4 linked regions of the Arabidopsis thaliana genome follow. The protein of the gene in region 1 interacts with the protein of each later gene in a pairwise test. Each region holds a gene or a part of one and is shown in the gene's direction. Other genes may lie near its edges.

Evidence for each region.
Region 2: the proteins of NAC094 (region 1) and ERF4 interact in binary tests that used the Arabidopsis thaliana proteins (3 or more experiments, as listed by UniProt).
Region 3: the proteins of NAC094 (region 1) and ERF12 interact in binary tests that used the Arabidopsis thaliana proteins (3 or more experiments, as listed by UniProt).
Region 4: the proteins of NAC094 (region 1) and BZR1 interact in binary tests that used the Arabidopsis thaliana proteins (3 or more experiments, as listed by UniProt).

Annotation. Positions count from the first base shown.
Region 1 is NC_003076.8:15,937,027-15,943,197, reverse strand, and holds NAC094 (NAC domain containing protein 94), read left to right. Parts: upstream 1-2,607; 5' UTR 2,608-2,706; coding exon 2,707-2,905; intron 2,906-2,994; coding exon 2,995-3,335; intron 3,336-3,424; coding exon 3,425-3,898; 3' UTR 3,899-4,088; downstream 4,089-6,171. Other genes in the region: DEG8 (Trypsin family protein with PDZ domain-containing protein), read right to left, coding at 182-315; AGL98 (AGAMOUS-like 98), read left to right, coding at 4,854-5,213, 5,291-5,920.
Region 2 is NC_003074.8:5,118,529-5,124,287, forward strand, and holds ERF4 (ethylene responsive element binding factor 4), read left to right. Parts: upstream 1-2,893; 5' UTR 2,894-2,943; coding exon 2,944-3,612; 3' UTR 3,613-4,034; downstream 4,035-5,759. Other genes in the region: AT3G15200 (Tetratricopeptide repeat (TPR)-like superfamily protein), read right to left, coding at 1-532.
Region 3 is NC_003070.9:9,949,676-9,956,068, forward strand, and holds ERF12 (ERF domain protein 12), read left to right. Parts: upstream 1-2,086; 5' UTR 2,087-2,258; coding exon 2,259-2,828; 3' UTR 2,829-3,430; downstream 3,431-6,393.
Region 4 is NC_003070.9:28,182,818-28,190,104, forward strand, and holds BZR1 (Brassinosteroid signaling positive regulator (BZR1) family protein), read left to right. Parts: upstream 1-2,686; 5' UTR 2,687-2,891; coding exon 2,892-3,158; intron 3,159-3,502; coding exon 3,503-4,246; 3' UTR 4,247-4,328; exon of another isoform or gene 4,329-4,593; intron 4,594-4,629; exon of another isoform or gene 4,630-4,829; coding exon of another isoform or gene 4,830-5,150; 3' UTR 5,151-5,229; downstream 5,230-7,287. Other genes in the region: AT1G75060 (histone deacetylase complex subunit), read right to left, coding at 244-468; AT1G75090 (DNA glycosylase superfamily protein), read right to left, coding at 4,830-5,150, 5,230-5,371, 5,450-5,591, 6,411-6,795.

The DNA of each region.
Region 1 (6,171 bases):
CAAAAGATTGTTCCAAAAGTTAAAAGCTTTACGGTGATTTTTCACTAACGTTGATTCACACATAACACCATTCTTAGTAACCTAAAGCCCATCAGGAAAAGACATAATCTTTGAGCAACCCAAATCAAAGGAACAAATTTTCAGCAAAATTTGGGGCAATGGAAGAAGCTAAAATGCTTACTTGACAGAAGAAACGGGTGGGTGTGAAACGACGTCGCCTTGAGAAATTTTGGAACAGACTGAAGAAAGAAGTTGTCGTCGACCAACAAATTCATTCTCATTAGGTTTCGAACAGAAAGATGCTATTACCTGCATCTTTCCAAAAAAAATCGAGAAAACTCTGAGACCAGTCGATTTGGCAAAAACCTGGATAAAATTAAGAATCTTAGATAATTTTTTGTGTAGCTTAGGAAGAAGAAGATACTTGAAATACCGAAATGCCCTCTCTAGTAATTTAGAAAATAAATGATTTATTTATTTTATATGTGTTATTTTGTTGTGAAAAAACCCAAAAAAGCAGATATTTATTTTTTTATTAAGAAATATTGCATTTTATACGCGAAATTTTAAAAAGTAATTATTTTAAATATGTGAACTTCGTATATGGCCATTTAATATATAAAAATACGTTGATCGGGCACCATTTCATACAAAATTATTTGTTGATCATGCCAAAATACACACGACGTTATCTACCGCTAACAGATCCGATAACATCCGTTAACTAGTCTCTTTTAGTTTCCAATACAACGTCGTTTCACCATAATCGAAATGAGAAAAATGTCATTTAATACTCCAACTTTCAAATTGTGACAGTTTTATACATCAACTTCACATGTGATTATTTTATACATAAATTAAACATTGACCAGCAGTTTGAAATATGAAAATGCGTTGAGCAGACCAGAAAAACATATCGCTATCTAGGCCTAGATATTCGGATTTTAGTTTGGATTCATAGGGAACAGCACTTCTATCGGGAAATGGGTGTCACGCCGCGATCCAAAAGTGTTAATCGAGAAGAACAGCAAATATGCATTGGGCTAAAGACGTCATTCAGTTTAGGTCCTAAGAGTGAATCAAACGATGTGAGGCCTGAGTGGAAGATGAAGGAATTATGCTTTTAAAAGTTTGAAACAAAAAGAAAACTGTAGGTTTGCTTCTTGATTTTCCAAATTCCTCTTCATTGTTGGACTCTTGTCTTACCATGTATACTTTGTTTTTTTGTTTAGGTGGACCACAATGTGATTGTCTTGTGCAAGGTCTCTTTCAAAAGTGTTATCAAGGTTTATGAAACATCTCCACTTCTTTATTTCAGGTTCACAATTTACTTTTTTTATCTCACTAAATTAAAATGTCTCCTTCAATTCTCTTTTCTAGGTTGAGCAGACCACTTTGGAGGAGCTATTAATCGAACCTTGCGAGCGAGTGTTGTACCAGCCGAGAGGCAAGTGTACCTCCATCATCCTCTTCCTTTGAGGACGACGAGCATGTCCGATACATGCTCCCTAGGGTTTAGTCTCGGAGATAGATGGTTTGATGTATCGGTTTTAAAGCACAAACCGTTCAAAGCATTAAAGCAAAAACTTGGATTTTCACAGCATTAATAGATATTCCAAGAGGATGGTTGTTGACAACTTTAATGTTTTACATATAAAGAGAAATAGAAAGCTTAGGTTAAAGGCTATTGACCAAACTTCCCAACTTGTGTTGCGTGGGTTAAAAAACCTAGGCCATTTTTTGGACTTCTCTCATCTTGAATTGTTTTTTGGTTCATCTTGTTTTTTTTTTTTTTTTTTACCACGAGATCTTCATTTCTATTCTACGTATACATTATGTTTTTACATGTCTCAAACTTGGAGACATATATAGCAACCTTAAGCAATGCCTTCGATTTTACCAATGCCTATATTGACTTACCATGGATTTTACTTTTCTTATATGTTACAATAATATATATAAAAGTATGAAACTATAAATAAATGTGGAAGAAGGAAGGAATAAATTAATTTTAGGGAATCGCGAATTTGAGATTTCATAATTTACGTAAAAGAACATTACTTTATTTACGGCTATAACTAAAACTACAACGACCCTTTGCTTAAGCACCACAACTTTCAAATATCAATCTTAATTTATAAGACTTTTACTTATAGACTTATAGATATAGAGATTGGATCCCATATAGATTCTACTCTAGAAAAACGTTTGACATTAGTCGGTCAAAGTCGTATCATCATTAAGTCATTAACCATATAGTTAGATTTTTTTTGGTAGAATGCATCTATAAGATATCGAAACAAAGGAAGAAAAACGTTTCCATATCATATTTTCCTAAAGATAAACCACATACGTAATGTAAGTATAACTTTTCCTATATTGTTCGACTCGTCCGTAGCCTCGATTTCACGAAGTACGCAATAACCTTGAAGTTTGAATCTTCTCATAAGAAAAATAATAATTTTAACGGCAAAATTCAAGATTCATAATATCTTTCTTGTATAAATCTCCTCTTATTCAAGAGACATTGGTCTTATACCTACGCATCACTTTCTGGTCCAATTATCGTTTCCCTATGAACCCATTTCTTCTTCTCTAAGAAACTTCTTCCTTCTTCCCCAAACTTACTCTCTCTATCTCTATAAATCTCTCTGTTTCTCTTCATCAAATTTTGGTATCCCAAAAGTACTAATTCTGTGTGTGTTAATGGTTCTAGTTATGGATGATGAAGAGAGTAACAACGTTGAAAGATATGACGACGTCGTATTGCCAGGGTTTAGGTTCCATCCCACTGATGAAGAACTCGTAAGTTTCTACTTGAAACGGAAGGTTTTACACAAATCTCTTCCCTTTGATCTCATCAAGAAAGTCGACATTTACAAATACGATCCATGGGACCTCCCAAGTAAGCCACAAAACTCTAACTTTTAATTCTCCAAATATATGGAAACAAAATATTTGATTATGCATTTTCTTAAATCAATGTTTAAAAAGAGCTTGCAGCGATGGGGGAAAAAGAGTGGTACTTTTATTGTCCTAGAGACAGGAAATACCGCAACAGCACAAGACCTAACCGAGTAACTGGAGGTGGCTTCTGGAAAGCAACCGGAACAGACCGGCCTATATACTCATTGGACTCCACTCGATGCATCGGTTTGAAGAAATCACTTGTGTTCTACCGTGGTCGAGCTGCTAAAGGAGTCAAAACCGATTGGATGATGCATGAATTTCGTCTCCCTTCTCTCTCTGACTCTCATCACTCATCATATCCCAATTACAATAACAAGAAGCAACACCTTAACAATAACAACAACAGCAAGGAGCTTCCTTCAAACGTAAGTTATCGGATTTGCCCTAACTTGCTTTACCCGCAACAAAGGTTAGGTTACCAAACAAATTAGAATCGATCTTTTTCATTTTGTAGGATGCTTGGGCGATATGTAGAATATTTAAGAAGACAAATGCAGTATCCTCACAAAGATCAATCCCACAATCTTGGGTTTATCCAACGATTCCTGACAACAATCAACAGTCACACAACAACACCGCAACTCTCTTAGCTTCATCAGACGTTCTCAGCCACATATCAACAAGACAAAACTTTATTCCTTCTCCAGTCAACGAACCCGCAAGCTTCACAGAATCAGCTGCTTCTTACTTCGCGTCTCAGATGCTCGGAGTCACGTACAATACAGCCAGAAACAACGGAACAGGGGATGCTCTGTTTCTGAGAAACAATGGAACAGGGGATGCTCTGGTTCTGAGCAACAATGAGAATAACTACTTCAACAACTTGACTGGAGGGTTGACTCATGAGGTTCCGAATGTAAGATCAATGGTGATGGAGGAGACTACGGGGAGTGAGATGTCGGCGACGTCGTATTCCACTAACAATTAAGATCATAGTACTATTAACACTTGAATTAGTGTAGACGTTGATCATCGCTAATATGTATTAATTTTTCTTGTCTTACTATAAACGTTGCTTCTCTTTTGGTTTCTTGAAGGCCGAAAAGAAAAAGAAAAAAACAAAGACTTGCTTCGAACATGCAACTTCTCCTTAATTTGGTATAGATAATTGTAATGGCTTTTTATATTAATCATTAAGTCTCATTCTTGAATGACACTAGTTTTTTTGGATTTTTCAGAGCCATATTTCATATTCTTTATGAAGAGGATACAATGCTTTCTTTTTTTTTTTTGAAAATAAGTAAAGAAAATATGAATTTGCAAAATCTTTTATTTATGTCAATAATGGCAAAGTAATGGATTAAAAAGGTACACGGAGTTATAAATTATATTTCTCATTTTTTAATGGAGGGTTCTAAATTTTATTTAAAATGGATGTATTTTGGTCGATTTTTGTTAGATTGTATTGTCACAAATTTTTAGCAAATCCAATAATTATATTATTAATTAAGAGCTATTTACATAATGATACAAAGGGTATCTGAAATATATATGGACAAGCAAATCTTTCTTTTTTATAGATCTTATTAATTAAAAGAGAGTGAGAGTAGAAAAAAAAAACTATTTCCTTTTTATCAGTCCTTAACGGCTAAATTACACAAATCTATGCAAAAGATATGGAAATCAAATCTTCACAAGCTTTGTTTTACCGATTAGAAGAGTGAAAAAAAAATAAAAAATCTAACTTTAAGGACCAAATTTTCTATAAGTATATCGCTATTTCACAAAGTTGTCTCTGACTTTCATATTCTTCATCATCTTCTTAGGGTTTCCTAAACCTAATTCGTAGTTTCACTCTCTCAATTTCATTCGTCTTCGTGCTTTCTCTTCACTTTGAACGTGAAACAAAAAATAGAGAGATTGTCTTCGAAATCAACAAGAAGATGGCCATTCGATCTTTACCTTCTTCCTCAGGCTGTTCCAATTCCTCTTCGTCTTCTTCTTATTCACTCGCTTCAACAAGTTTGAGCAATAGACTTGAGACCATCTTCAGGAAAGCTTCAGAGCTTTGCACTCTCTGTGATATCGAAGCATGCGTCATCTATTACGGACCAGACGGAGAACTCAAGACATGGCCTCCGGAGCGAGAGAAAGTGGAAGACATTGCTCTCAGGTATAGTCAACTAAACGAAGCCTTGAGACGCAAGAAGAGCGTTACTCTTTATGACTTCCTGAACAAGAAGAAGAACAAGACGAACTTGGAGAAGAAAGCAAAGATAAAGGACAACGACTTGAAAAGACTTGTCTGAAGAACGTGAATGTTTTAAAGTATCCAATTGCTGATCATTACTCTCCTGACCAAATTTCTCAACTGATTCAGTCCTTAGAACCTCATGTCTCTAAAGTCCGAGAAAGGATTCGTTTTGTTGAGTCGCAGAAACATAAGGAGACAAAACCGGATCATCAGAGTTTAGCATCATCCTCTCTGAATAATCAGACCCAATCTTTGAACCCTAGCCAGTTTTCGCTGTTTATGTATAACCATGGAGATAATATTCTGTCTCAGATCCCAGTCTCTGCATCAAATTTCAATCAGGATTATTTCTCAGCGTTACTTGAACAATCTGAGTTGAAGAGTCAGATAATGAAGCAGGAGGTTTGTGGTTATGAGCAGAACATGTGCATGAGTAACAATGGAGATGCTACGCTCTCTCAAATCCCACTCTCTGCATCAAATTTCAATCAAGAGTTCTCAGCCTTACTACAAGAAGAATCTGGCTTGATGCAACAGGAGCTTTGTAATTATGATCAGAACATGTTTATGAACAACAACAACTTCCAACATTCTTTTGTCTCAAACACACAAGATCACTCTGCTCCTGCGGTACAAGAATCTGTGAACAACAACTATGGGTTGATGCCGCATGTTCCTTGTGGTTATGATCAGAACCTGTTTACGAGTGATATTACCAACAACAACCTTCTTATCGACAACTCGATGTTTCTCTGATAACAAAGCTCATTCAAGAGAGTGTGAGACTGTTTTTTCATCTTCTCGTAAGAATTTTAATATGTTGTTGATGTTTATTTTGCTAAGTATTGCATAACGCATAATGTTTTCTTGTATCAAGCTATTTTACTATGTGAACATCCAATTTATCAAGTGAATATATATTCCACTGCATAAACATGTTACCAATTACTTTGCATATCGTTTCGTGAAAATATCAAACCAAATCTCCCATTTTAAGAATAGCACAT
Region 2 (5,759 bases), on another chromosome or scaffold:
CGTTAACAAATCCATCTCTCTTAGACATTTCGTCGAACACTTGGTGAAACTCTTCAAATCGCCGCATTTTCCCAAGAACATCGAGAATCTCGTTATACAACATCGAGCTAGATAGATGAACAGATTGTTTAACGACCAATTGAGAAAGTATATAAGCTGGTTTCCAATCAGATCGATTCCGATTAACCACTTCTAAAACAAGCTCTTCGGTTAAGTCTATCCCGCACTTATCGAGAATCCGCTTAATCTTTTCAGGTGAACTTCCACGGTGATGCTTTATGATGTTATGAACATCAAGAGCAGATTGCTTGTCTTTGTCGTCGTTGAATCTATTTGGAAATTTGTCGGGAGCTCCAAGAGAATGAAGAAAGTGTGTACCCAGAAAGTGGAACCTGGAGAGAGTGATATTGTTCTTATGATTCGGTGTCTCGGGAGGAAAAACACGGCGAAAATCGACCAATGATGAGATCCGGCGCCGCGATAGAGCACTTTGTAGCTGAAACAAGATTTCAATTTTGTTTTTCCCTCCCATCTTCACTAAACTCTCTAAAGATCTTCCGAAGCAAAACGTTACATATACAACAACAAAAATTGCAATGAAAAATACATATCTTTTTACCAAAAATGAATTAAACCGGATTTTTTTAGTAAGGTTGAATGATCATTATTTGTTTAAGAACAGCATTATTTGTTAGTGATTGCTATTAAAATACGAATGATAACAAATTTTAGTATATGAAATTTCATTCGTTTCGGACAAAAAAAATAATTTTTATTGAATAAAGAATTTATTTCGATTGAAGTGATATTGTTTGGTACCGAAAGTTTTGCTTACAAACAAACAGAGGTTTTGAATATAGAGACAGCATAAAAGTGAAGCTAGCTTAAGTCTATAATCATGTTTAAGAAAATTAAACAGTAGTATCTTCTTAATGAAACGTAAAGATAATATATTTAAATAAATGAATCTTTTTATTTTCTGATATCCAGCTGATTCTGTGGCCCAAGAAACCCAATCCATTATCCATGGCGTGAAGACATATGTAGCTGTCGTAAAAGAATAAACAAAGACCAATTAAAAAAGAGCCAATTAACAACCAAATTACATAAAATTTATTAAAACTAATCTATTAATCACACGTCTTGTTCTGCCGTCAGAATGTAATTACCGTCCGTCTTTTAGGAAACAAAGAACAAAACAAACGGCGGGCCCACCGCCGTTAGAATCTCTCTCGGTTAGCCGACGCGGCCACCATTCTCTCTCTCTCTTCATCCATTCTCCACGCGTCGCGTTGACCACGTGGCACTATACATCTTTAAAACTCTTTCTATTTTATTTAAATAGCGAGTGCGTTGTGGGCCATCTTTGTTTTTCTTTGGCGGAGGGGCGGCTAAATAGCCTTTTGTTTTTATTTTAGTTTTATTCCGCGAAAGAAAAAGCAGTCAAACTCCAAGTTGAATTTGGAGCTGAGTCTACGAAGTCACGCATAACGCTCTTTCTTTCACGCGATCGCCGTCGGCACGTGTTTGGCGGTGAGATTCACGCTCGTACATGGAAACGCGGTTCCCAAGCCGCGCGTCCTCAAGGTGTTGCCACGTATTTTACATTTTTGCGTCATCCAATACTGTTCTTTGGTTTCTTCTTCTCTCTTCTTTTCAGGCGCCGCTGCTTAACTTATTTCCTAGTTTTTGAAGTTACTCTTGTCTTTAACTCACACTGCCATATAGTATGACTTTATTTACCTGTATTTTCAAATTTTTACACACATAACAGTATCTTTAGTTGTTTATTGGTCTTACAAAAAATTGGGTATTTTTTAAACCAAAAGTTTTGAGATACGAAAACAAAATTGATATGATCTGAAAAATTAGTTACTCACATATTTGTTCAAGTTTTTTTCTCAATTATGCAAGCATTAAGGTTGATCCAACAGGTTATGAGAAAACAAACTGAGTTCATTACAAGTGTACTCACTAGAGCAAGCTTGTGTAGTTATATCCTAAATCATGAGGGTAAATGGCACATGACAATTCGTAGTTAGATTAACTATATATATTAAATTAAGATGTGGGATTACATTCTTAATTCCCTCGGTTATGAAAATCAAAATCTTATCACCAGCATTCAAGGGAATACGCTGTGTAGACAAAACAGCAAACAACATGCATCTCCATTAAATGCGTCAAATACTGTACGGATTTCTTTAGTTTTTTTGTTACAAATTGTATCAAAAGTTTGTTAGTACATTGTACATACAGATAACAAATGAATTTCACTTTTTAGATAAAATAGTTTACACAAAAAAAAAAAAAAAAGACTTTGCATCCAATATTTTCCACCACAAAATAAATCATTCAAAATACGGATTGATTAAATATGTATCATAGTAAGATCTATATTTCAAAATTTATCCTTATTTCATTAAGAACTTTAATGCAAAGATTACATAGTCCAATTAATTTTCTCATTGCCAAATATTAATAATTAAATTAAAGATCCAGTGATAAAAAGTTTTATTTTAAAATTAAAGTCAATCAAATTAATGTATTTAATTTGTATCTATATTTTTGACAATGTATTCAACTTTTTAAATACATCAATAAATTCATTAATAAGATGATCAACAAAAATTGAAAACGCTTGGTGAGGTTAAAAAAGAAATGAAGGGTTGATAAGAAAAACAAAATTCTTTGAAAGAGGAAAGAAAAACACGTGGCAAAAGATAAGTGGAGGTAAAAAAGAAAACCATGAAAACCGCTGGTGTTTTGTAAGAGAAGCCGCTAAAACCATTTCAGGCTTTGACTGTTCACAACAAAGCGCCCCAAAAGGAGCGTCGCTTTTACTCTCTCTCCCATCCTATATATAAACAACTCTCTCCTTTCCTCTTCTCCCTTCAATTATCTATCACACCACCACTCTCTCTCTAATCTATCTATCCGAGAATGGCCAAGATGGGCTTGAAACCCGACCCGGCTACTACTAACCAGACCCACAATAATGCCAAGGAGATTCGTTACAGAGGCGTTAGGAAGCGTCCTTGGGGCCGTTATGCCGCCGAGATCCGAGATCCGGGCAAGAAAACCCGCGTCTGGCTTGGCACTTTCGATACGGCTGAAGAGGCGGCGCGTGCTTACGATACGGCGGCGCGTGATTTTCGTGGTGCTAAGGCTAAGACCAATTTCCCAACTTTTCTCGAGCTGAGTGACCAGAAGGTCCCTACCGGTTTCGCGCGTAGCCCTAGCCAGAGCAGCACGCTCGACTGTGCTTCTCCTCCGACGTTAGTTGTGCCTTCAGCGACGGCTGGGAATGTTCCCCCGCAGCTCGAGCTTAGTCTCGGCGGAGGAGGCGGCGGCTCGTGTTATCAGATCCCGATGTCGCGTCCTGTCTACTTTTTGGACCTGATGGGGATCGGTAACGTAGGTCGTGGTCAGCCTCCTCCTGTGACATCGGCGTTTAGATCGCCGGTGGTGCATGTTGCGACGAAGATGGCTTGTGGTGCCCAAAGCGACTCTGATTCGTCATCGGTCGTTGATTTCGAAGGTGGGATGGAGAAGAGATCTCAGCTGTTAGATCTAGATCTTAATTTGCCTCCTCCATCGGAACAGGCCTGAGCTTTTAACGGTGTCGTTTCAATTCGAAGCGCATGCGTTTCTTCTTCTTTTTGAGCTGTGAAAATTCGTTTTCTCATAGTTTTTCCTCTCTCTCTCTCTCAGTCTAAATTTATTACCAGTTTTTAGAAAGAAAAAACAGATTAAATCTGAGAGAGAAAAATATAATTTTAGCTGACATGGATCGTTATGTACATATTATTACATAACCGGAGATCTGAACTTTTGTTGTGTGCTTTTAATTTTTTGCGACTTGGTTTCACCCCATGTTGTTTCTCTATTTTTTTTACTACTTTTTTTTTTTTTGTTCTTCCAAATTTTCAATCAATAATTTGGTAATCTTCAGAATTATCTTGTCCAATCCAATTTCCGAAATTTTGATTATTACTACTTGTGGGTTGTGGCGGCTCCTTCTATTGGCTTTCCTTTTCTATCGTTACCACCAAATTAAAAAAATTGAAGGGACTAAAATTACTTATTTGACAAAACAAAATAATTGTAAGTTGAAGTATAAGAAAAACTAAAATTCAAAGTGAGATTAATAAAATGGTAGTTGAGTATCGTCGGCTTTTAACAATGGTCCAAGTTTCCAGCAGACACGCAGCCGGCGTGTGTGGGCCCTCGTTTTGCTCTCTGCGGCGTAAGTTAGAAAATTCTTTGCGCTTACGTCACTTAGTAGTAGGGTCCACTCACAGAGTACGGACATACTCATTTCTTTTCTTTCTAGCTAACTTGGAAGAGTCTTGAAGCTGAGAGTTAACACTCTTTAGGTCTGACAGAGAGAACCTAGATTTTTAATTTGATAGATTCTTAAATTTGGAAAAGAAACTGCCACAAAACAAAGATAAGATTTTGTTCAATTTTTTTTAAGAAAGATCTCTAGTTTCGTAAACAAATTTTTGTCGGCAAAAAATGGAAAAAGAGTACACAAAGTCTCTAAAGAAACAACTATGACTAGTCTAGATATTGGTTTTTTTTATCTGAAAGCTTTTAGAATATATAGCTTATAGTGCAAAATTAATTTTCTTTAAACTATGACATTGAATTGATTCGGAGTTGAATTGGACTAAACCAACATCATTTGACCCGTTAAGCTAACAATAGTGTTATTTATAGATATTCTTTTGGCCAATTATTTCTAGATGGCTGGTCTTTTTGAATTTTATTTCGTTGTTTTAAATTTGTGCGGAAAGTAAATTTAACTTGCGAAATTTTTTATTGAATGATGGCGTGATGTGTTGAAAATGTAAATATAGGTACAAAACAATGATGTTAAAAGTTTGAAAGAAAACGACGACGTATAAGAGGGTGTGAAATAGAAAGCGGCTTCATAATGAGAGGCAGAGAAGAGAGGTTTTTGATTGGATTCTTGTCTCCAACTCCGCAATCAGAAAGAGTCAATAACTATCCTTTCGTGATTCTCGTGTAGATCCAACGGCTAGATTCTATTCTTATCCACGTGTCTGGATCATACACTTTCATGTTTATTAACTACGCAAAAAAAAAAAAAGAGTGAAGCGGCACCGACGGCCAAGCAGCGCGAGTCATCATCATCCTTTTCAGAAGAGACCGAATCAGAGACGGTGGCGCCCACATTCCCATTTTTTTTAATAATATATTTATGAGAATAAGACTTTTTAGTAGTATTATTTCAAAGTCTTTGTCCTCTCAAAGAGAGTATTTATAGCGAGTAAATTATGTTTACAAATATATATATATATCTAGAAATAAAGAATGTTTTTACGCATCTTTTATCGTATTCAAATAATTTCACTCAGACAGAATAGTTGAGGTATATTTTAGAAGTTAATTTGATAAGTTAAACTCCTGTTTTTAAAAGAGAGACAATTTTGCAGAGGAAAACATTGTATGCCCGTAACAGTTCATGAAGATAAAATCACTTAAAATAAAAAAATTAATATTTACTTTTCCTATTGGTAGTTATCCAAGTAGAAGTCCACCAATTATAATTGACCTAATATGCCTTAAAAATCCGGTTCGATTGACTCTGTTAACATATTTCTTAAGTGAAAACCGGAATTTTTACAGAAGATGTGTGTGGTTGAGCATATGGCGCGTGTGAAAGTGGCATGGGATGTAAATTCCGTGTTGACGAGGTTTATGTCGGGATATTGGGTTGTCTTCACGTG
Region 3 (6,393 bases), on another chromosome or scaffold:
ATTTTTGTTTTTTGATAGATATGAGCCTCGAAGATTAGAATCCAGTTGGACAAATTTTGTGATTTATTGTCAACTAAAAATAAACCTCCACAGCTACAAGAGCATTAAACTAAAATTTTCCAGTATTATTTTTTACCTCTAATCGAAATTGTGAATCACACTGACTAGTAAAAAGAGCTAGCTGATGGTAAAACGTAAAAGTTACTACCTGTAAGTAATTCCTGGAAAAAAAGAAAGATAAGAAAGCAACAAAATAGTCAAAAAAGAGGCGCGAAAGTGCAGTCAGATCAGGTGTGGGGAGAGAGGAGGAGGGGGTTCATGGAATGAGAAGAAGACACGTAAGCAGAGAGACATCAAAGTCATGATTTCGTGTGAGTGTTGAGTTGTGTTCTGTTTTTGTAGGAGGCAGCCAGTCAGTACCACTTGATGACGATGCTCCTTTTGTCCTAGCTGCTACTACAAAGACACGTCATAAAGCTCTTATGTATCACAGGCTCACGTGAACACGAAAGCCACATTCACATTTTTCTCCAAAATATTTCTTGAAAATGATTATTAGTACTGTAGTAGCTTATATAGCTTTGGGGTATCTCTCTTTTTTTTACTGTGCTTATAGGTAGGGTTAATTTAAATAATTAGATATGTCAGAGAGAGAGAAGTCAGACATCAGAGTTCGCACGTGTATAAATTTTGTTAGATATGGACCAATGCATTTGTTCAATCAAAACGACAGACCCTAAGCCTTGTCACGTGAAAGGAAACACAGATTTTTTTATTTATTTTTAAATAACCCTAAAACCAAACAAAAACATCTTACAAAATGTCAAGAAATAGAGAAGTTAAAAGACAAATTAATCTAATAAAACTTCAGTTGATAAAACAAAAACAAAAAACCTCTAACTAATTTGTTTTAATTCATTGTCTATTACTGAAAATTATAAGCCACTTCAATTGCTATAAATTTTTGACTCCTATGATTACTATATATTTTACACAATATAAAGACTTAAACTACGTCACTTTTTAGAGGGAAAAGAAAGAGCCTATGTAATCTACTCTATTAGTATAGACTAGAGAGTATAGTAAGTTTGCATAAGATGGGCTAATGAATTTTGGACAAAAAGAAAAACAAAATCAGTCAGAGCTAAAGATAGAGTAGTTGTGTCAAGTAACTTTATTTAATGATCTCCTTGTAGCCTTGTCCTCGTGCATCATAAATATATATGGGTGCCAATAAAACCCCAAAAGAGAGCATTTAAATACTTGTCAAATAATAGAGTGAAAGATACAAAAGATAGAGAGAGATGGCTATTATCAGTACTAGGGATTACGTCAGCATCCCTATGCCACAGGTTCAGTCAAAGAGGCGGCCCATTTTTCTTTCCTCTTCGTAAATGTACAAGATTATTTATTTTTAGTTCTTTTTTCTTTGATCATTTTGTATCAATGGTTGCTGTGAGAAAAAGCATCGAGATTGTTACGATCGAAAACAAAGTACTTGAATTATGAAAAAATGTTTGGAGAGCCTATGCAAAAATGATCTTTCTATCTTCTTTTTATAATAGCATAAATTTCATAGTATGGCATTATCGTCACTAGCAAGTAATGAGTTAATTTACCATAAGTTACAACGGTAATGAGGTTGTTTGGAGAGTAGAACTAAAATATTTTATTTCTAACCATTACCTAACAAATCTTTTTTATATAACAGAAGTTGTAAATGGTAGATAAGAAAACAGTATTAGCACTCAAAGGAATGATTAGCATTGTTTTCTTTCATGTCCTAGAATAAGTCCACTCACCACTAGAAGTATTCACTTTATGAGAAATCCTATTGTATTTTTTCAAATACATCAACTTATTAAAACAACATTATTTTGGTGTAGAACACCCACGTGTAACAATCTCTCAGCATACCACCGTCACATCACCCAACAGCAAAAGATCGAACGGTGCTTGATTCTTGCAAACCCCAGAGAAAACCTCGATCCTAGAAATCAAACACTATTCAGTTTTGTTTTTACTATTAACTTGCCATATATATTACGTATAGGCAACAAATAAAGATAGATAATCGTCAAAAGAAGCCGAGGATTACGGGTGTTCTCAAGCGGCCCTACAAACACACCTCTTGCTCTTTAAACTCACTCACTCTCTCTCTCATTTGGGTCAAACGAGCCAACAAAGCAAAACCTCTTTCTTCTCTTCTCCACTTTCTCTCTAGATTCTCTCATATTTCCCCTCTTGAGAGTCTAACAATGGCGTCAACGACGTGTGCAAGAGAGGTGCATTACAGAGGAGTCAGAAAGAGACCTTGGGGTCGCTACGCTGCTGAGATACGAGATCCTTGGAAGAAAACTAGGGTTTGGTTAGGCACTTTCGACACTCCCGAAGAAGCTGCTCTTGCTTACGACGGCGCTGCTCGTTTCCTCCGTGGTATCAAAGCCAAAACTAACTTCCCTTCTCCTCTCTCTCTCGACCTCAACCACCTCCCTTCCGCTCCCTCAGCCGCAACCGCCGCCGCAAATAACCAACCCCACCAACACCAACAGCTCTGGTTCGCTGCGCCTCCTCCTGTTCCTCCAAGCTCCGACCATCATCACCAACACCACCGCATTTTTCTCCGAACCGGTGTGCTAAACGACAAAACTTCAGATTACTCTTCTACAGAAGCGCCGCTTTACTTCACCTCCTCGCCTAACACAGCCACGTCATCGCCTGGTTATCAAGTGGTTGGGTTTCCGATGATGAATTCTTCTCCTTCCCCTGTTACGGTGAGACGTGGCTTAGCCATTGACCTCAACGAGCCTCCGCCGCTTTGGCTTTGAAAACAAACGATAAAGATGGATATAGCGGCGCCGTTTTGCCTACTTTTCTATACGGCGCCGTTTGAGACCACTTTCGGTGGAACTACTTTAGTTTCTTTTTTTAGCAAATAGTATCTTTTTGTTAGAGTTAGTAGACTTGTTTTTATAATTTAATCCTTCTTTTGTTCGTTATGTAAGAGTCGGAGATCGATTGTTGTTGTGAGATCCATATGTTGCGGAAAAAACAAGAAACTTCTTAATTAGCAACACAAAAACTTAACAACGTCTGAACGTGGATCTAATTATGTTTGTGGATCGTGTTACGACCGTCGCTTATGTCGGTTTCGAGGGGGTTTTAAAAATCTTATCGTATTCTATGGCGTGTCGTGAAGTACGGACTGACTTGTGCAGCTGTTTGCTTTGCTAGTGTCCTGTTTGACTCACGCGCCTCTCTCTTAAATCACGACAAAAGACGGACTGAGAAAAGAAGGAAACAAACAAAAGAGATAGAGACTAATGAGAGACGTAAATGCTGAGCAAGCGTGTGAGTTTGGACTGGCTTATTCACTTACGGACAAGATATGTGTATTATGAGTCTTGAGTTTGTAAATAAATTGTATTTTTTTATTTATTTTGAAAATTTTCATATGAATTCGAACAAAAGTTTTCTGATAAAATTAGAGGAAGTTTAATTGTCCTATAATTTTTCTGCTCATGTTTACCAATCTTATATATGTTATGCGTGTATACATATATATATAGAAGCATCTAAAAATATAAAATAAATAAAATTTTTGACGGTCCTATATAGATAAATATCAAATTCACATAACAAATTTATCTACAGAAGTCTTAAAATAACGCAAATTTCAGTAGTAAATGAAACAAACATGTTTGATATAATCAAATATCATAAGAAGTCAAATTAATTAACTAAAGGAGATCTCACGTAGCGAAATCAAAACTTTCATGCAGATTGTGAAGATTTTATGTTTATGTTTTATATGTAGAACCGGAATCGTGTAGTTTTATGAGACTATAAAACAGTCATAGAACTGTTACATGTGTTAGACACTTAGACATATGTATTGACTAAACAAAGATCATGCATTATGCATATTGCTTTCATAAAAGATCAAATTCTAACAGTTTCGTTGCAACTTCTTTTTATCGTATTTCATAAGCGATTTGTAATCGACCTCATGTAGCTTTTAGCAAGAGAAAGACAAAAAGAGTTTAGCGACAAATTTTATAATTTAAGAAATATTTAGAACCTAACAAAAAATTTATGTTTTAGGCCTAATAAACCAGTTGTATAATCTGAATTTAAACATATGTTCGCTATGACGACGAACCTCTGCATGTGTTTCTGCGGTGCAACTGAATTTACCAAATTGGCCAAAGAGACCCCACGCGCCGCCGCATGATATCGCTTGTGTTAGTGAAAAATCAATTCAAAACTTTGGGTTGCTACATTACTTTTTTTTTATATGGGCTTAACTGTTTATTTTAGTCCTTCCTTGCGTGTCTCTTGTCGTTTTCATAAACCTTATACCTAAGGTTTATATAATTATTTGACAAAACAAACAAAAAAGTCTTATAACAATTTAGTGCTATTTTTCTTGAAAGTGTGGCGGCAGTGGCCGACCATCAATTTTTGAGGTTTATAATCAATAATGCCTTTTGTGTGTATGAAATGGTTCGAAGATATGTGTCCAAAATAAGTCCCAACAAACTATCCGCGGTTTTGGAAATTATTGGTTTCTGGTTTACAATTTCTGAGTTTTTAACTTTTTGCTCTATGTGAGTATATTGTGTGCCTATTTAACCCATGAATTTAGGTAATAAGGCTAATCTCTTCAAAAATTATTCCTTTAGCTCAAAAAAATTCAAGAGGAACTAATCGTTAGTTTTATGTATCCCATTTGATTTCTTCATCTCCGAGAATCAACAAATTCAAAATGAAGGATTTCTGAGATTTGATATAGAACTGATAGGCTAAGAAAATCAAGATTATTTCTGTCAAAAAAATTATATAAGCTAATTGAAATCTAGTTATATTATATAAGATAATTGAAAGGCAATGGACATTGTTGACAATTGACAGTAATCTTTTTTTTTGGGGGGGGAGCAATAAACATTAATATTTGGGCCAAAAGAATTGATGGGCTGTTTAGCAATCGAGGTCCAAGTTCAGTTTTGTTAACGTTGATACAGATATTGTAGGTAAAGTATGTATATGGAAATGAGATATATATCGAGCAAACCTATACTCATGGACTACTGTATTCATCTAACATTTTGCCATTATTGATCCGACTTATACAAAAGACAGTTAGATGCTACACTACTCTTAACTTCACCCATACAAATCGACCATACAAGCTTTCTCTGGCCAGTACAAAAAATAAGGCTCCCTATGAATCTCTCAAGCCAAAAAAATTGATACTCACATAGAGGACAAAACTCTCTCATTGCAGAACATAACATTTAACCATAAGAAATGGCCAGTATCCATATAGGATTGCAGCCGATAATCAGACGTTATGTTTTTAGCAATGAGACTACCGCCTCTATCTAATGTCAGGCTTTCCCCAACAAGTTTCCATTCCCCAAACTGATATAGAATAAAGAGGAAATCCAAAGATTAGTATCTGAAAGATGGCTAACCTCTCGACGACTCGACCTATTTATAGTTCCTACCAAAACGTGTATAAACTATCGGTTAGGAGTTTGTCCAAAAGAAAAATTATGGGTTAGGAGAAATAAGTAACTATACATGTATAAATGACTTTCTCTTTATTTAGATATATTAAAAGACACAATATCTATGTTTTATTTTTCTATAATAGACTTTTGGTCAATGATAAGTTAAAATACATTCGCATATAAAAAATCGTACATTCATATATAGAAAAGATAACAAATATTATAATCTAAGAATGAAAACCGTACAATTCATTTTCCATATTGGCAAAAATGAAAATTAAATAAGAAATGATCATATAAGTTATCGATATACAAAATTTCATCTTAATTAAAAAAAAAAAAAAATTCAGGTAAATTGAGTTTTAACGAAAAAAAAAAATAGTGTGTTATACACGGTATAGACTACACCCAAATACAATTTAGATAAACAATCTATATTTTTCTTAAAACAACGATTAACATAAGATATCTACGAATGCCACTTTCCATAACAACAAGAAACAATACAACAAAACGATAACTTATTATTTTAGTTTTTGAATATAATATAAATTATAGATTGCTTATCTATAATTTATTAAAAATATATATATATATATAAATTAAAAAAAAAAAAAAAATTAGCGTTCTTACAACTAATGCCGTTATGTTTAACAATTTTACAAAGAAAAGTTAGAGCTTCTTGTCCTAGCTTGTGTTCCTTGATTCGAGCAAGATAACTTATTATTGCTTTTGTTCAAAACAGCAAATTTTATATTTGACCAATAATCTCATTATCCTGAATAAAGTATTATCTCCATTATATTTGTTTATTAAAAAAATAATTAAGAATCCTACTATTTCCTCAAATCCAATTGGATATAGGTAAAAAACATAA
Region 4 (7,287 bases), on another chromosome or scaffold:
AAGTGCAGATCGTTATGATGCAATTTAACAAAATAAAGTTATGATATTTTAAGAACAATCAATCTAATCGGTAACATAGAACAACCATTGATTTTATTGCATTATTGAGCTAATGATTCTGGATCTTTTGTTAATCAGTTTTTAAAAATCTACTCTACTGGGGGAATAAAAACACAGACAGACACAAAGATGCAAAAAAGACAAAACGAGGTAAAGAAGAAAGCGAAGTTGATCTTTGCTCACCAGCCAATGCCAACCACCGAGTCCGACGGCTTTCTTAACGACGCCTTGAAGACCGACGAGAACAGATTTGGTACGGTTGTTTCCAGTAACGACAACTTTGGTATGACGTGGCAACACTGACAATTCTTCTTCGCTACTGCAATCGCCGAAGCAACTCTGTAGCTGAGAGAATCCTCCTCCTCCTCCATTGAGGATGCTTGACTTGTTCACCGGAGCTTCCAGCATTTTGTGTTTTCTCTCTCTCTCGTTTTTTCCCTCTCTATTATCAGAAAGTACCACAAGCTTTTTTACGATCTCGGAAATGGAAGTTGGTGCATTTTGTGAAGGATTGAGAAATGGAGTAAGAGAGAAATCGAGCTGAGAAATTAGGGTTTGTTTTTGGTCTGATGAAGAAAGACAGAGTAAGAGTGAGAGAAGAAAGAGGAAAAAGCAGAGTGTATTATGATGAGTAAGAGAGAGAAAGATAGAGATACAGAGGAGGGAAGGGAAGGGACGATAGGCGATAGCGACCGCCTTCCTATCGTGACCAATAAGGTATCAACACGTGTGTTTTGTACTTGTATCATTTGCACTGTGGAAATTGAGCGGTTTTTTCATGGATGGGTACCAAAACCTTTTTTTGTTTTTTACCGAGAGCTTTTTTACTTTTTACTCTCTAATAAAGATGAATTCATTTGTTGGAAAACTTGTATTACTTTTTACTCTTTATTCACTGTATTACTTGTCTTGTCTTGGTTGTGAAGATTTAGATTTTGTAAAAACGAAATTGAAACAAAAAAGAAAGGAGTGGATACGTTTGGTTAATTTGTATGAAACATTTTGGGTACTAATTTGTATTGGAATCTGAGATTGATGCTTTTAGAGGGTTTTAAAATGATCAAAAAAGGAAAACGAGGGCCACACTTCGTAAATTTTGTGTAATGTCTACACGCGATCGACGTGAATATGAATGGTTGACTGGGTTTTTTCAAAATAAAAAAAAAGTCAGGAGTTATGGGGCCCATGCATGCGTAAGTTACGATTATACCCCTATTGTTTATTTGTTTTCGTTCCTCTCCAATGTAATTTGAATTTGAAATCACGCCTCTATTAAATATGTCATCGTATAATGTCCATATTGAACATTTAACTAAACTAAAACAATGTTCATGGAGTGATTCTTAAGCCAACATTTTTTCTTGTTCAAGACATAGCATTTTGTAAGTTTGATGGTTTAAAGTAATGTACTTATTGTCCAAAACGAGTTAGCTAGGTAACATGGAGTTAATCGGAAAAACAGAACATATTTCCAAAAAAAACATACTTAACACATAATCTACTTATTATCACAAGTAGGTTACTAGTGCCAAACCAAAGAAGAAAACCCCTAAATTCCTTTTAATGCTAGAAACGAAAGCTGGTATTAAGATTTAACTGATGATTTAAAACGTATCACCAATAATTAACACATAATCGCTCGATTAGCAACAAAGTCGTTGTAGTATAGTGGTAAGTATTCCCGCCTGTCACGCGGGTGACCCGGGTTCGATCCCCGGCAACGGCGATTACTTTAGTTTTGCCTAATTCATCGAACCCTCTGATTCATTCCAAATGTTTCCCAACTCGCGTTGATGGTTCGGGTTCCTCTGCTTTTAAGACATTAGTTACATGCTCCTGCACTTTCTACAAAATAAACGTCATAATCCAAAAATATTACATGATCATACATCATATATGCCGCCGAACCTTGTTATGGGACAAACTCGTAAACCCCTTTTTCCTTTTATGTTCAATGAACTATACAAGTTTTGGTTATGAATACATAAATAATGATGGACCCAGCAATTAATCCAAAATTTGGATATTAGATACTAAAGCTTAAAATCAACATGTAACCAAACTAAATACTTTATAGAACATAGTAAATGGTATTCACCAATCTTTATATCATTTGTAAGGTACGAAGAAGGTAAAAAAAAGAGAGAGCCAGTGTACATACAACTAATCAGGACAAAAGTAGTCAAAATTGTTTCTAAAGTGAGATTTGTATGCAAGAAAAAAGTGATAATTTTTAATTGAATATATCATTATGATGTTAATCACACGGCTTCACTGTATAAAATAAAATTTTAAAAACCAATCAAATGGTGTGTTTTTCGGTCACACAAGTAAGGGACCCACACTGAAGAAACGGTCCCACTGTGTCTCCTCCTTTCTTTTCTCTGTATTATTTGGTCATTACTCATTTTACATACTCACAGAAAAAAAAAAAGATTAGAACATAAACACACGTTACTAAGCGTAGTTATCCTCTGCACCTTAACATACACCTCTTATATTCACCTCACGTAATCTCACCCTTCCAAAACCATGTATTTACACGTGGACGATCGATACACAAGAACAATGATTCTTAATATGAACTCAATGTACTTGAACACACACACGACCCAATTTTTACATTAGATGAAAAAAATATTATTATTTGTTGGAGAAGAAAGAGAGATTCTTCTTCTTCGATTCCAGCGAAGGAAAAGCGTATTCCTCGTGAGCACTAACTTCTCACTCCTCTCTTCTTCTTCTTCATCAGTCTACGTTCACACAATCTTTCACCCACCTATTCAAAGCTCTCTCCGGAAGTTTCGAGGGGTTGGTTGTTGGTTTTCCCGATGACTTCGGATGGAGCTACGTCGACATCAGCAGCTGCAGCTGCGGCGGCGGCAGCAGCGGCGAGGAGGAAGCCGTCGTGGAGAGAAAGGGAGAATAATCGGAGGAGAGAAAGACGGAGAAGAGCTGTAGCTGCGAAGATATACACTGGGCTTAGAGCTCAAGGTGATTATAATTTGCCTAAACATTGTGATAATAATGAAGTCCTTAAAGCTCTTTGTGTTGAAGCTGGTTGGGTTGTTGAAGAAGATGGTACTACTTATCGCAAGGTGAAGACTTTCTCCATTTTTTCCAGATCTGAGCTTGTTTTATTGATGTTTTTGATGTTTGAATCTGAATTCGTTGATTTCAATTGTGGTTAAATGGGTTTGAATCTGAGAATTTGAGGGTTTTCTCAAAGTGAATTTGAATCATCAGAAACTATGGATGGATCTGATTTCTCAAAGTGAATTTATGGGTTTTCTTTCTAATTTTAGAGTTATTATTGGTATGCTAAAGTCTTAATCTTTTATGTATGATACTTGGTCCAAAGTCATTGCATTGTGTTTCTTTTGCTTACCTGTGATTGATTGATGTTTGATTGGTTATTGTTTTGCTTTTGTTGGAGTATCAGGGATGCAAGCCTTTACCTGGTGAGATAGCTGGGACTTCATCTCGAGTAACTCCATATTCATCACAGAACCAGAGCCCTCTTTCATCAGCCTTTCAAAGTCCCATCCCATCTTACCAAGTTAGCCCGTCTTCTTCATCATTCCCGAGTCCTTCTCGCGGTGAACCAAATAACAACATGTCCTCTACATTCTTCCCTTTCCTCAGAAATGGTGGCATTCCTTCTTCTCTTCCTTCCCTCAGAATCTCAAACAGTTGTCCAGTTACCCCACCGGTCTCATCGCCGACTTCTAAGAACCCGAAACCGTTGCCTAACTGGGAATCTATCGCTAAGCAATCCATGGCCATTGCTAAACAATCAATGGCGTCTTTTAATTATCCTTTCTATGCGGTTTCTGCACCTGCTAGTCCGACACATCGCCACCAGTTTCATACCCCGGCTACTATACCTGAATGTGATGAGTCTGACTCTTCCACTGTTGATTCTGGTCATTGGATAAGCTTTCAGAAGTTTGCACAACAACAGCCATTCTCTGCCTCTATGGTGCCAACCTCTCCTACCTTCAATCTTGTGAAACCTGCGCCTCAGCAGATGTCTCCAAATACTGCTGCCTTCCAAGAGATTGGTCAAAGCTCTGAGTTTAAATTTGAGAATAGCCAAGTTAAACCCTGGGAAGGAGAGAGGATACATGATGTGGGTATGGAGGATCTTGAGCTTACACTTGGAAATGGGAAGGCTCGTGGTTGACATAAACAACTAGGCAAACCCAAATGGCATGTCATTGGAATATGAGAAACTAATCCTCTTGAGTATTTTCTTCTTCGTCCAGGTATTTGGATCTTTATGGAATCTCATATGTTCTTCACTTATTATCCAAATATGCTGCCCAAAGCCTTCTCCATGGAAGCATTGGAGTGTTAGAGTGGTTATTCAATTCATGAATTTGGTTTCAAAAGCATTATTTGTAGATAAAAAAATCTTAAGATGTATGATTCTGTTTCCTTACATATGTTACATTAATTAGTGGCTTGAAACTGTCTTGTGTCTTGTCAAATTGCTTAGTCATATATCATTTCTTGAGCCGATTCTGTCTCTTAGCATCAAGATCCAAAATTTGCAAAAACATTTGCTTTTACAAAATGTTAAATTCTTTATTTCCCTGCAATCAATCTTTTGGTCAAACACTAACACATCATCAAATATCTAGTTAGACAAAGCTAGCTAGGATAGTAGCATAATCAATGAACACAGCTAGCTACAAATGGTACATTCCATAACGAATACAAACACTGGTCACTCATCTTCTTAATAGTCCAATCCCTGTTTCTGATCAAACAAGTAATGGAGAATGCAGATCCAGTTTGGTTTCAGTCTCATGGCTTTTTGTTTCTCTCTCAGTCTCAACATTACATTCTTGGTATCTGAAACAAGCTGTGAGATGATCATTAACAATGCCAGAGGCCTGCAAGAAGGAATACATAACAGTAGGACCAACGCAGCGAAACCCTCTCTGCATCATATCTTTGCTAATGTACTCTGCCTTTGGGGACTTAACCGGTACTTGACGACCATATCGATAGCCATTTCTTAATGGCTTGTGGTTCACAAATCTCCAACAATAATTACTGAACGATCCAAATTCCTGCTTGACCTGTTTTCAGATTACAACCAAAGCTATTTCAGTAAACACATAGTATCTACAATTTCATAGCAAAACACACAGTGCCTACCTTGAGAACAGATTTCGCGTTCTCTACAATTGCTCGCAGTTTCTGTTCGGATAGAATTAGACACCCATTAACTCTAAGAGACATCAACCTCTTCTCTGTGAATTGTGCTATAGCTGAAGGATCAAACTCTTCAAAGAGCTTCCTACAAAAAAGAAACCAAAACTTCTGATATCACACCAAACCAAAACACAAAATAGCAAATTCACCGTCCTAAGTTTACCTAAAGTCGTCTCTTCTGCGTAGGATTGAAGGCCAGCTAAACTCAGCCAAAGCTTGTGAGAAGACAAGTAGCTCGAAGAGTTTCTTGTCATCACGAACTGGAACACCCCATTCCTCGTCGTGGAACAAAACATAGATCGGGTCTGTTTGATCAATCACCATTATTATTATTAACTGAAAAACTTACATATCCAATGTCATCAATCATCTTCTACATTTTTTTTTGTCCTTATTTATCAACTACAATACCTAGTTTTTGCTAGGTGCAATTAATGTGTTGTTGACATCTATGAAAACTGATTGTAACCTTTATTAACTTTAACGTATTATCAAAACAAAATTACATTTCGAAAACCATAAAAAGCCATTCACATGGCATCAATTTATAAAGTCGATTGAGATATTTTATTGGGGCCAAAAACGAAGAAATTTGGTAAGTATCTTTTAATTCTTTGCAGATTCATTAAATGTTGTGACAAGGACAACAAGTCTCTACATAGTGTAAAACATTTTATTCCTAACAATAAAACCTAAAAACTAATATTTTGTTTTATTCTTTAAAAATATACTCCCTCGTTCCTTTTTGTTTGATTGTTTAGAAAAAAAAATTGTTTCAAAAAGATTAATTTTTTAGATTTTCAATACAATAGTTATTAGTTATAATTGATAAATTGTAAACTTCAACACAAATTAGTGAATATCATTGGTTTAAAGTTATTGAAAATTGTAAATCACAAAAAATAATACATTTAAATGCAACATTTATTATGTTTTCTTAATATTTGTGTATTTTCTAAAAGATCAAACAAAAAGTAACAGATGGATTATATACTTCCTCGTTATTCACGAAATTCAGAGGTAAAAAACAGAATTTTCTCTAAATAAATGAGAGAAAAAATGTGAATTTAAATTAAAGTTAAATGAGGCAAAGAGGGAAAAAAAAAGGTGTCAGACAAAGAGACCTGAATTAGGTGTGATCCAGTGGCATCTCTTGACCGGTCCCGGAATTTTAGGACTAATGTCTTCAACGACGGCGACGGAGGCAACGACATTATTGAGCTTCTCAACTCCGTTCCGTTTCGACGGAGTGGTTACTTTCCCAGAGTTTGTCGTGTTCACTGACGAACGTTCCGAGGATGAAGAAGAAGAAGAGGAATCATCAGTCGAAACTGAGAAATTGGAATCGGGCTTCTTCGTCGCCGGAGATTTCGTCACTCGTGGATTCAGTTGTGGCTTCTTCGTCATTTCTGTTTTCGTAACCTTAAATCTGTTCCCGGTCGAACAGAGGATAGCTCGTGACTCATCTATTGGTTTAACCGGAGAACGAAGCTTAGAGACTATAGACATCTGAGAGAAGCTTTGAATGGTAGGAGATGGAGAATTCGAAGGTAACGTGAGGGTAAAATTGGAAAGATAAGGAATGAAATGAGATCAGTGAGAAAGAGAGAGAGAGATGGAACAGAGTATGAAAGAGCTTAACGAAGGTTTTTAAAAACTGTAGAACGGTAACAGATAAAGAAAGCATGTAAACCGGTCATAGCCGGTGATTATTGCTTACGTGTCGGTTAATTTTCTGTTTAATCCTTGTTGGTTTCAGAAAAAGGACACCAAATGGTTTATTACATGTCGTGCAAATTACGCTTTTGTCATTTAATTCCGGATTAAAAGTTTGCCGCCTGCATTATTTTCTAACTTATGGTTAATTAATTTTCGTTCAATAATTAAAAATAGGTGTTTTGGAGAATGCATCAAAAAGTCCTACTATGCTTTATGACTTTGAACTATATACAGTAAAAACTTGACGAAAAAACTACATTAGGTTAAACTCTAAAGAATGTT